3 linked regions of the Lonchura striata genome follow. The protein of the gene in region 2 interacts with the protein of the main gene of each other region in a pairwise test. Links are inferred from orthologs where the notes say so. Each region holds a gene or a part of one and is shown on either strand. Other genes may lie near its edges. The genes, in order: BCL2, BNIP2 and FRK.

Region 1 (3,749 bases), on a different chromosome or scaffold from region 2:
CATTTCTCCCTCCAAAACAGTAATATCATAAGCTCTACACATACAACAGGTTTGGTTTGTGGGAGAGTGGCTGGGACCACATTTTGTTCCAGTACATCATACTAATAAAGGAAAAAAGGAAACAGTTATCCTTCTAATTCAATGCAGTTACTTCTGGAAAGAGGGGGAGAGAGAAAAAGGAAAAGCTTTTGACTGACTACAAGTGAAAAAGCTATCCATTTTCCACAAATGGAAATCTTGCCTTTCTAGTTGATGCTGAAGCCTGCCCCAGACAGAGGTGATCTCTACCCCAGAAACACAGCTGCCCATCACTCATTTTCTAGAACAATCCCACAGACACAGCTCCCAGCACCTTTGTTTCATCTCAAGATGAAGATTTTTCACTCTAGACATATCTTATCCCATAAAACCCCACTCCAGTGACGACCACAGCGGCAGACACTGTCACTGATGGCTACCTGCTTGCCAGGATCTCATGTTTGTTGCACACTGGTCTGGTGCATCACCTCTCACGGCTGGGGATACTGCATGCACACACAGGTGGTCCCTGCTGTCCCAACACTGCCTGGGACCTCCCACCATGTGCCTCTTCTGCCTGGCAGCTGGATAGGCATCTCTGCTGCCCCCTCCCACCCCACTGCATGACCTGCCTTGGCTAGGAACCTGCCTCGGTTCTGCCAACAGGCGTGGGCGGACAGGAGAAGTGGAGACCACAGGAAAGTGGAGACCGCTGATAAAGACACAGCCTTGCTCATCCTTGTTGCTCACAAGCTGTAGCTGTTCCCCCAACCTCAAACCACTCCACCCTACCCTGCATCCAGGTGAAACTTGACAACTGGCAGAAGGCCAGCACTGCTTTGGCACATCCCAGTGCAGACACCCCCTGGACAAACTTTTTGCTCCCACAAGTGCCATCCCCCGGGCACTGCCCAAACCGGGGTCCAGCCAGCCACGGGCCAGAGCCAGGAGAGGAACCGAGCAGTCAGGGGACTCACCCAGCCTCCGTTGTCCTGGATCCAGTTGTGCAGGTGCCGGTTCAGGTACTCAGTCATCCAGGTGGCAATGTTGTCCACGAGGGGAAACATCTCTCGGTTGACGCTCTCCACACACATCACACCGCCAAACTCGAAGAAGGCCACAATTCTGCCCCAGTTAACCCCATCTCGGAAGAGCTCCTCCACCACCGCCACGAAGCGGCTCCTGGCCGTGAAGGGCGTCAGGTGCAGCTGGCCAGACATTTGGGAAAAGTCCCTCTGGTAGCGTCGGGAGAACTCATCCCCCGCCTGGCGCAGGACGAGGTGGACGACCTGGGGTGCAGGGCGCAGCCCCTCTGCCGGGGGCGTGTGGCTAGCAGTAGCCGAGCCGGGGGGCTCGGGGTGCGGAGACACCAGCCCAGTGTGATCAGAAGTCCCAGCAGCAGCAATCGCAGCAGCAGCAGAAGCGGAGTGATCTGGAGGCAGGGATACCCTGTCCTCACCGGCAGCCCAGTCATATCCCCTCTGAGAGAGTTTATAGTGGATGTACTTCAGCACTATCTCCCGGTTATCGTAGCCTCTTCTCCCCGGATGAGCCATAATTCCCACGAGGAAGCAGCAAGAGGAAGGGAGAGAGGAAGAAGAGGAGCAGGATGAACCCAAAAAAGTAAAGCAGCCAATAATAATAAAATTAATAACACCAAAAATTATAATCCAGTTATTGTATTGGACACAGTTTCATTCATGCTGGTGTGGGGGAGTTCTCGGGGTCTCGGAGGTACTTTTGTCTTCTCAGTGTTTCCTCCTTGGTTTGAGATGCACGGCATAAATAGGGATTACAATGCTGTAAATACTTTACTTCCAGGTGCACATTTATTACTTATTATATATTTACGTTAGGACCATTTCCTCCTCGGTGTTGAAATACATCTTAAAAAATATTATACCGATTCAAAATCAGGTGCATTTTCCCCTAGGTGCTGGACTACCATGGACACGAAGGAGCAGATGAACACACACTGTAAAAACTGCAATTCAACACAATTTGCTAAAGCAGCCTTGGATGGACGTTAATCCAATGCACTTTAAGACAGAAACCTCAACATTAGGATTTGGGGTTTTTTTTGTTACACAAACTAAGTTTCCTCTGTAAAGTACTTACTTGGACTATAGATATGTTCCTCTGTCAAGTTTCCTTTAAAAGAAAAATAGCAACAATAAAATCCAAACATCACAAGTCTTCAGAAGCGTTAAGTTCTGGTTGCTTTTGATGCTTCAAGTCAACAAGGGGATAGGAACGGGGCAAAAAAAAAATTTCTACGATTTCAAATGTTTTTTCCCAGACTCCTGTTTAACAGACATCTCCAAAGATGTGTCAAAGCTCAGAAAATCCCGCCTCGCAGACCGGGAAGGCGAACAACCCCAAAGAGACGGAAAATCCTGGAGACCAGATGAACCACATTTGAATCCAAGCTCTCGCAGAAGTGCTCTGTTTTCCCCTCCAGTGCAACGTACAGACATATGCATTTACGTAGTTTCATTCAGACACCGATCGCAGGAACGCGGTGCTTCCACACACACGCACGCACACACCCAAAAATTTAAAAATAAAAAAAAAAATTGCATGTATTTAGGAAATTAATTCTTTTTCACAAGAAAGCGCGGAAAAAAATTAATTAAAAAACGAAAATAAAAATAAAGAAGGAAAATTGCTTTTGACTGCTGCCATTTCCCGAGCAGCTTTGTATCGGCGGAGGAAGAGCCCCTGGCGCTGCCGAACAGGGGCGCGGACGGGGCGTGTGTGCGGTGTGACTGGTGCCGATGGGGACCGCGGCCGCGGCGCCGCTGCTCGCCCGCCCGCCCGCCCGCGCAGCCCCGCGCACCCGCCGGCTGCGGGCGGCTCCTCCGGGCGCTCCGCGCTGCTGCTGCTGCCGGCGGCGGCGGCGGCAGCGGCGGCTCCGGACGGCGGCGGCGGCTCCGAGCGGCGGCGGGCGCGGGCGGGGAGCTCTCCCGGCGGCGGCGGTGGCGGCGGCGGGGGGAGCGCAGCGGAGCGGCGGGGGCGGGGAGAGGCGGGGAGGAGCGGAGCCCGAGGGGGAGGCTCCGGCTCCGCTCGGCGTAGCCGGGCGCGGTGGTTTCCTAGAGCTCCGCCTCACGCTTCATTCAAGAAAAGGGGGAAATGGGGAGGGTGCTTAAAAAAAAAAAAAAAAAGAAAAGAAAAAAAAAAAAATAGGCGGCGGCGGGGGGAGGCGAGCAGCCCCCCGCAGTCCGGGCCCGCCTTCCATCGCGGCGCGGGCCTGGGGCCGGCGGCGGGGCGGCGGGGGCGGCGCGGAGCGCGGCGGAGCCGCGGGAGCGGAGGAGCGGCGGGCTCCGGGGCCGCGGGCGGTGCTGCCGGCCCGCGCCGCCCCACCGCCCGTGCGGAGGAAGCGGCGGCGGAGCCGGGGGCTGCCGGTCCCGCTCCGCGCCTCTGCCGCCCCGCGCGGATTCATTTAATTTTTTTTTTTTAATTTTATTTTTAGTAAATGAAACGGGGAGGGAGAAAAAAAAAAAAAAAAGAAAATAAAGAAGTCGGAATACACCTTTTTAAAAAGCAAAGTGGCCCGCTGCAGGCGTGCAGGGCTCCGTGCATTTTGCCTCGAGGGTGTGCGCTGGCCGCAGCCGCTGCGCGGCCGCGGATCCCGTGCGCTGCCGATCTCGCCGGCCTGGCTGTGCGGATGCCCCTCTCCCGGAGGCGGCCCCGGCCATGCGGGACATGCGGGTCCCGCACACCTGCTCCGC
Region 2 (3,749 bases):
GGTGGCCAGGAGTATCCACACCCTGTATGCTGAGAACATCATCGGCTTGGTGAGAGGCAGGACTTGTTTCCAAGCAGTGCTTTAGTCAGGACAAACAGGGAGAGCTGGGAGGGCAGTGGCTGGGGCAACAGCTTCACACTGCTGAAGAAGGACAAGTGAGAGGTGCAGGTGCTGAATGTTTCAAACAAGGAGAGTTCATCCTTTCAGAGGAACTAGGTTCCTAACTTCCACAAGATTTATTTAAATCTTCTGGATGAGGAGGCAGGGAAATGTCAGTAAAACAGGCTTAAATTGAGATCATTAGTGCTTAATTTGTAGTACTGCAGTTTTACAAAAAGATAACTTAATTTTTCTTTACTAATCAACTTGCATAGTATAGCTTTAAGCATTGCAGGACATTTTAAAATGAGGTCAGGAGCAGAAAAAAATTGATTTGTCATGAAAGGAAAGCTGGTGCTACAGAACAGTAAGTGTAATTTGGTTTTCAGCCAGTTAAAAAAATTATATATCTGGGTTAGTAAGCAGTATTGGTTGCATTCAAACTTTGTACTTATTGCTGTTCTTTGTTGATTGGTTCTTTGCAAAATACCATGGTTTCTTATTTTGATGTGTGTTGGTTTTCTTAATACATTCATTGATAAGTTTACCTGTTTCTGCCAATCTTTAGAGCCAACACAGCCAAGAGCTTCATCTGATTTGGACTTTTAGGTCAGCATAATGGTTTGCCATGTTCTATTATTGGGGATTCCTTGTTGCTGGTGATGGGTGAGCCTGAAAAACTACAGCTTTACTTGCACATCATAGGGTGAGTTTTCCAAAAACACTGTCTTAAATAGTTATTTTTAAAGTGTTTGTGTTGTCAGAGGTTTGTTGTTTTTTTTTTTTTTTCTTTTTAAATGGCTTATAGTTGAGATCTGACCATCTGGACTTTTTCTCAAAATATACACTTATTAATTATTGCCTATAGAATCTACAGACAATTCAGGTTTCTTACATTTTGGAGTGAACTGGTGTAATCATAAATGATAGAACAAATTGCTCAAGGCCTTAATTTTAACTGAGGGATTGATCCTCCTTGACTGCATGAAATCCCTTCCAACCTAAATTATTGCATGATAAACCATTCCACAAGGAGTTTTGTATGGGAAAAAAAAAGTAAAATGCAAACAAACAAAAAACTTTTCCTTGTATTATTTTCTTTTTATTCTGCATCATACCTCAACTTGATGATAAGTTAAAGGATGTGTTACAAGTATGGGAATTGTCACAGTATTGAACTAACACCTTCTGTTATATTCCTGCAGCTCCTCTTTAGCCCATTGTGCTGAAGCCAAGGGGTTCTGCCTGATCAGGAGTCTCTGCTAGCAATTTAAGTGAGCTGGAGAATGGAAGGAGTTGAGTTTAAGGAAGAGTGGCAAGATGAAGATTTCCCAAGGTTTTGAATTATTTTTTAAAGTAATTTGGATCAAACACATAACATCAGCAATAAGCTACCTCTTGGTCTTCCTGGTGAACTAATACTCAGTAATAATCTTGAAGTAATTTCCATTAATATACTTGTTTTGGAAAGGTTTTATGGCATATTTCTTCAGGATTGCCACCAATATTTCTGAAATGAAGATTTGTAAACTTGGCTTTATTTATTTCCTGTGATAATATTTTGCAACTACATTGTTTGCATATTACTCCCAGTGCCTGAAGGCCCAAATATTTCATTAAGTACAATTTCTGAGGAAAGTCTTTAAAAGTCAATGTTGCTACTGAAGCCTGGGACTACAAAAAGTTAAATCAGCTTCAGATGCATTCTATGATAACATGACTAAGATATTTGTGTAATTTATTTTGAGTCAAATTTTGTCAAGCAAGAATATGACAAGTTTTCTTAAGGATGACACACCGGTTGTAGTCAGTGTTTTGGTATTTGTCACAGGATGGGATGGTCACTTGAATGCTGTAAAGGAATTTTCTGCTGCTTTGGTGTTTGTTAACTGAAAGTTTGAACTTAGGCTGTAAGTAAAGTTAATTCAGTACTAACTTTACAGTGGGTTTTTCTAGCAATATGTCAGTCTTAATATATGACATTACAAAAGAGGTCAGAGCAGGTTTTTAACAATAATTTCTTTGTGTCCCAGGCCCCTGCCAGAGGATGATCCTGTTGAGTCTGAGGCATCGGCTGCAGCTGGAACAGAAAGTGAAGCTGGTACGTAAATGCCTGCTTTAAAGCTTCTTGGTTTGGGGGGATTTTTTTGCTTGTTTTGTTTTGGGGGTTTTGGGTTTTGTTGGGTTTTTTTTTGTTTCATTGGTTGGAGTTTTGGAGGTTTTTACATTTAATTTTTTTTTTTATTTTGTCCGTCTGCTTTACTTGTGGCCTTTCCAGTGCTGGATTGGTAATCTGATTTTATTCCTTGCTTTCAACTCCTGTCTAAATCATGCCAATATTTGCCTTGTACCTTTAAGCATTCTGTCTATTCACAGAACAGATTCTTTAATTTTATGTCCTCACTGTTGTCTGTAAGTATTTTTTTTTTTTAGCTTGTATATTATTTTCTATTTTATCAAAGATGGTTATGTCATCACTGAAGCCTAACAAAAGCAAGCGATAGAGACATGAATCTGTTGTATTACTTGCCAGATTTATTCAGTGTAATATATGGAGCAGCTCCTGGGACACTTGGATGAAGCAGGCAGGGGGTGGTAGTGTCTACCACCCTGCTCAGACTCTGTGTGTGCAAAAACTTGAGAACTTTTAGCTGCTGTTCTTTCCATCCCCTATTAAAGTCTTACTCCAAAGAAAGTTTAAATTATGGGCAATTATTTATAATGCATTATGAGAAAGGACTGAGCTCTTCTGTCTTGGTAATATGCTTATCTCACCTTGCTTTAGCTTTGAAAAGAAATAATTTGCTTTCTTTAGATACAGAGGGCAATGGAACCAAATTGAGGAAGAAACTAATGGCTTCAGATATTAGCTTGACTTTGGATCCCAGTGGGGAATCTGTTTTGTCTGATGACTTGGATGAGAGTGGAGAGATTGATTTGGATAATTTAGATACTCCTTCAGAAAACAGCAATGAATTTGAATGGGAAGGTGAGTATTTTGGTTCTTTTGTCTGATACTGTAAAATATTTTCTTATGTGCAGGTCAACTGTTTCTCTAGTAAGAAATAGCTATGATTCACTAGTACAAGAGGAGAGATACAAAGGGAGTGATTACATTAGGAATTAGAAATACATGCAATGACTTTTTAAAGAGCAAATCAGATCTCATCTGATTAGTAAACAGGCGAACAGTTACTAGCTGTAACTACAGCTAAACTTGGGTGAAGATCATGTACATATGCATCTAGAAGACTTGGTATTTTACGTGTTTTAGAAATGAGTTTTAAATTGAGGGAGCCAAACAATGGGATTTAGATTAGCTACTCAGAAACTGCTGAACTGCAATTTAAGGAGGATTTAAATAATAACTTAGTATTTTAAAAATACTAAGTAATACCCGATCTTAAATCTTCTCTGGTAAGAATGACAAAAGCTCAGTAGCCTTAGAGTGTGCATATTTGCATACTAACTAGAGGCAGTAGAAGAGCCTCTATTTTATGTCAAGGAATTCTGGAATGACTTCATAGGAATTTAAAGTAGTCATAGCCACGCTAGTAATGATCTCAGTTTTATTATTAATATCTTGAAGTTTTAAGACATTAATAGGTGATATATCTTACAGGCAAAACAGTGCTATTGTAATACATTTT
Region 3 (3,749 bases), on a different chromosome or scaffold from region 2:
TGACACTGGCTTCCTTATTCAAATGAATGAGACATGATGAAAGCAAAGCGACTTTGTTTTCTTTTACTTAGTTGTTTTCTTTCTAGTAAAATAAAACCACAGAAGTTGGCTTCCTGACCAAAAAAAAAAAAAGGAAAAGGAAAAAAAGAAAAAAAAGAAGAGAAAATAAAAGAAGAGAAATGAGGAGAAAAGGAAAGAGAGAAAAGAAAAGAAAAGAAAAGAAAAGAAAAGAAAAGAAAAGAAAAGAAAAGAAAAGAAAAGAAAAGAAAAGAAAAGAAAAGAAAAGAAAAGAAAAATATAGGACTCAGGCTTTTTAATCACCAGGAAGTTTTAAGTCCATGTGTGAGATTTCATTGATCTCAATAAATAGACTGATCTGTAAGAGTTTGTCTTACTGAAATGTCACCACTGTGTGCAGACAGGTTATTGCTGTGTCTTCTGTTCTTCCTGCTCCTGTTCCAACCATTCAGTGTCCCCCAGGCCGTGGTGATTTCCAGGAGACAAATCCTAGGCTGCACTGCTGTGATATGATGACCAACCCTTCAGCCAGCTTTGCCACAGCCACAGAGTATCCAGACACCTTTGCTTGGTCTGTATGCTGGATTAGAGATACTTTAGAAATAGGAATATACTGGTCAATGCAGTGTCATTGTTTACAAGCTGACTGGAAAACAGCCATTTTTTAAATATAGGGTTGATTTAATCAGCCAGCCACCAAGAAAAATGCTTTTTGGCTAGTGCCTTTGTTTCCTTAAAATGCAGAATAAGGAATGCCTTAAAATATACTGCTTTATTACTGGATGCCATATATATTTCATTTTCCTTGTAAAAAGTGCCTATCCCAGCTGAAGAAAAAAAAAAAAAAGAAATCCGTAGGGTTGTTTAGAGGGGCAGGTACTTGGCAGGGAATGTGCCTGGGTGTGAGTGAGGGCAGGAGCCACAGGTGCACTCCTGGTGAGGGCATCTGACAGTCTCAGGCGAGCAAAGGCTTCCCACTGCGAACCGAAACAAGTACAAACCAGGAAACAAAAAGAAATATTCATTCAAGCTGTCCACGTCAGACTACTGAGGAGTAGGCAGGTCAGTTTGGTTAATCATTGCCAATTCAGACATTCACCAGTGATCATATGACCAGACCACATCTGAGATAAGAAAACACCCATCCTGAGCAGAAGGAGTTGAAAGCCTCCCTTATTTACATGTTCTGGCTTTATTGTTTTGCTGTAACAGAAGAGGCTCACACTTTTCTGTTGTTCTCAGAGCTCAGCCCAGCACAGCTGTTGTGTTGCTTTCCTTTTTCTGAAGAGGAAGTGAAAAATTCCCTCCATACGTATGCTGGCACTTGAATGCTTAGGTTTCACTCCCTAATTGGGAGCGATCTGTAATGAGCTCTCCGTGGGACCCAGAGAGGAGCTTCCAGCTGTGCCAAGAGTTATTTCATTTTGTGCCAAAGGAGAAGGGGGAGAAGAAGTCTGCAAAAAGCTAAGATGTGGATGGTGCAAAAATTGGTCTAAGGGTCTTGCAACCAGGAAAAGCAAAAGAAAAGCAGAAGCAGAGGGAGCAACAAAGAATCAGGATGGGAAACTTCTTCCGGAAGCACTGTCCCTGTTTGAAGCGTTACCTTCCCTGCTTATTCTTTGGGAGAAATGGTGAGGAGGAAGACAAAGGAGGCCAGGTCTTTGCCAACCTTGCTGTTATAAAACCTGACCTCCAAGCTGGACAGAAGGACTTAGACAGTAAGATAAAAGAGAAACCTTTACCTCCACTGCCTGGCCAGGATCTAGCAAACATTTGCAACTTTGTGGCACTGTTCGACTATGATGCTCGCACTGAGGATGACTTGAGCTTCCGAGCTGGGGATAAGCTGGAAGTGCTGAGTGCATCCCATGAGGGATGGTGGTACGCCAAGCTCCTCCTGCCAGAGGGGTCAGTCTGTCCTGGCCGCAAGCTCACAGGCTACATCCCTGCCAACTACATAGCTGCTGACCAGAGCATCGAAGCTGAGCCGTGAGTAACCCATGCTGTGTGAAATGAGACTCTTTTCTGCTGTGTTAAATGGGTTTGAGACAGGAGGTCACGGCCTTTTCTCTTGCTGTGTATTACCCTGCCACACTCAGCCTCGGGTGTCCTAGAGGTGGTAGTGTTGGCTGGCATGTGCAAGGAAAAGACACCATGGTCAGAGGAAAATAAATTTCCAAAGGCAGAGTGTGGAGGGGTTTTATATTGTTTTAAATAATTTCCTTTGGTGATATACACTAATCAGTTGCTTAAAAATCATCTGGGAAGATCATGTTGGTTACTGCTGTGATGGTTCATTAATTTTATTTGTATAAGAGTAAGTGTGTATCAGACAATACCCAAAGAGTAGAAATATATGACCCCTGCCCTGAATAACCAGCTGCAAAGTTACTAGTTAATCAGTTAAAGCAAGCTACCTTTACACCTTTTTATCTTCTTCCATAAGATGGGTGAGTCCCTAACAGATAAGTTTCAAAGTGTTTCCTCTAGACTACGTGCATCTTCTCTGGAGGCAAATCTCTGCTCTCAGGACAAAATTAGCTACAGCGAGTACTGCAAAGGGAAAAAGTGGATATTACAACAGAGAACAGATGAAGGTATTAAATTTCACAGAGTTTAATTATCCATCCCATCTTTTGCCCCTTCAAAGCATGCCAGATCTTATTAAATATTCTGAAATAGATCAGAAATCACACAGAATCAGTTACTTGGCTCCCTAGTAATGATGAGGAAGGTCTGAATCAGCCTGGGCTGCACAGTTACTTCTGTGTGTTGAAGACAGAGTCAATGTTTGCTGAAATAGGTCTGACTGCAGTTCCAGAGGTATATTTTGGAAAAAATTATCACTGTGTAAAGAAATGCCATCAGCGACATTCATTATTAGTCTCAGAATGAATGTTGACTTTAGAGGGATGGTGATGCAGCCTTTCAGTTAAATGTCATTTGAACCTGAAACATCATCTTTGACCTGATCTGCCCACTGGACTGCCACAGGCTGGGAAAATTGGATCAGATATGATTATGCCAAGTCTTTTATCAGCTGTAGGATTTTTGCTAGAGGCATTTTATGGCAACTCTAAGATTAATCTCTAACCTGAAGACTTTAATTTCCAGAGTTTTACCAGCTGTTTCTGTATTCAGGCAGACAACATTTTCAATGGTCATGTTCAAAAAAATTCTTCCAACTGGAGAAATTAATCTCCAGGGAAGGCATTTTCTGAATCACTAGATAAATGGTGTTAGGCTCTAATTTAGCTCAGGTTGGCCTTTGCTCTCTTTCAAGAGCTAGTTTTCTTAGAAGTCATCAGATTTCTTCATGCTGTTAATACTTTGAAAGTAATTTTTCTGAGTTATACAACATCTCAGCTCCTAATGTCCTTATCTTTCTATATCTAGAGCTTCAAATACAAAGTTAAGTTTGCCAAATTGCATTGTTGTGTAACCTCTGTTTATTTTACTTGTTACTTGTTAAACAATTCTATATTTTTTTTTTTAATATACCTTTAGACTAAGTTACAAGAAAACATTTTTCTCTATGGATTGTTAGAACACTGGAGAGGAAACAATGGAGAGTTTTTCCAATTCTCAGATGAAGCAATTTCTCCAAAATGAGCTTTTTATTTCGCAGCAAAATTAATGTGGCTTAAACATGTTGTCTTTTCTCAGATTTCTTTCTAAGTCACTTGGCTTTAGTGGTCTTCACATTTGTGCAAACCTGTCAATCCACACAC

Evidence for each region.
Region 1: the proteins of BNIP2 (region 2) and BCL2 interact in a two-hybrid assay, tested with the Homo sapiens proteins (3 studies listed by BioGRID and IntAct). The link is inferred for Lonchura striata from reciprocal best matches to the Homo sapiens genes BNIP2 and BCL2.
Region 3: the proteins of BNIP2 (region 2) and FRK interact in binary tests that used the Homo sapiens proteins (3 or more experiments, as listed by UniProt). The two-hybrid records come from large-scale screens. The link is inferred for Lonchura striata from reciprocal best matches to the Homo sapiens genes BNIP2 and FRK.

What each region holds. Positions count from the first base shown.
Region 1 is NC_134603.1:96,441,605-96,445,353, reverse strand, and holds the start of BCL2 (apoptosis regulator Bcl-2), read right to left. Parts: upstream 2,815-3,749; 5' UTR 1,575-2,814; coding exon 996-1,574; intron 1-995. UniProt on the Homo sapiens protein: Suppresses apoptosis in a variety of cell systems including factor-dependent lymphohematopoietic and neural cells. Regulates cell death by controlling the mitochondrial membrane permeability. Appears to function in a feedback loop system with caspases.
Region 2 is NC_134613.1:9,134,200-9,137,948, forward strand, and holds the start of BNIP2 (BCL2/adenovirus E1B 19 kDa protein-interacting protein 2), read left to right. Parts: upstream 1-1,326; 5' UTR 1,327-1,385; coding exon 1,386-1,435; intron 1,436-2,132; coding exon 2,133-2,200; intron 2,201-2,914; coding exon 2,915-3,088; intron 3,089-3,749.
Region 3 is NC_134605.1:66,374,696-66,378,444, forward strand, and holds the start of FRK (tyrosine-protein kinase FRK), read left to right. Parts: upstream 1-1,156; 5' UTR 1,157-1,576; coding exon 1,577-2,007; intron 2,008-3,749. UniProt on the Homo sapiens protein: Non-receptor tyrosine-protein kinase that negatively regulates cell proliferation.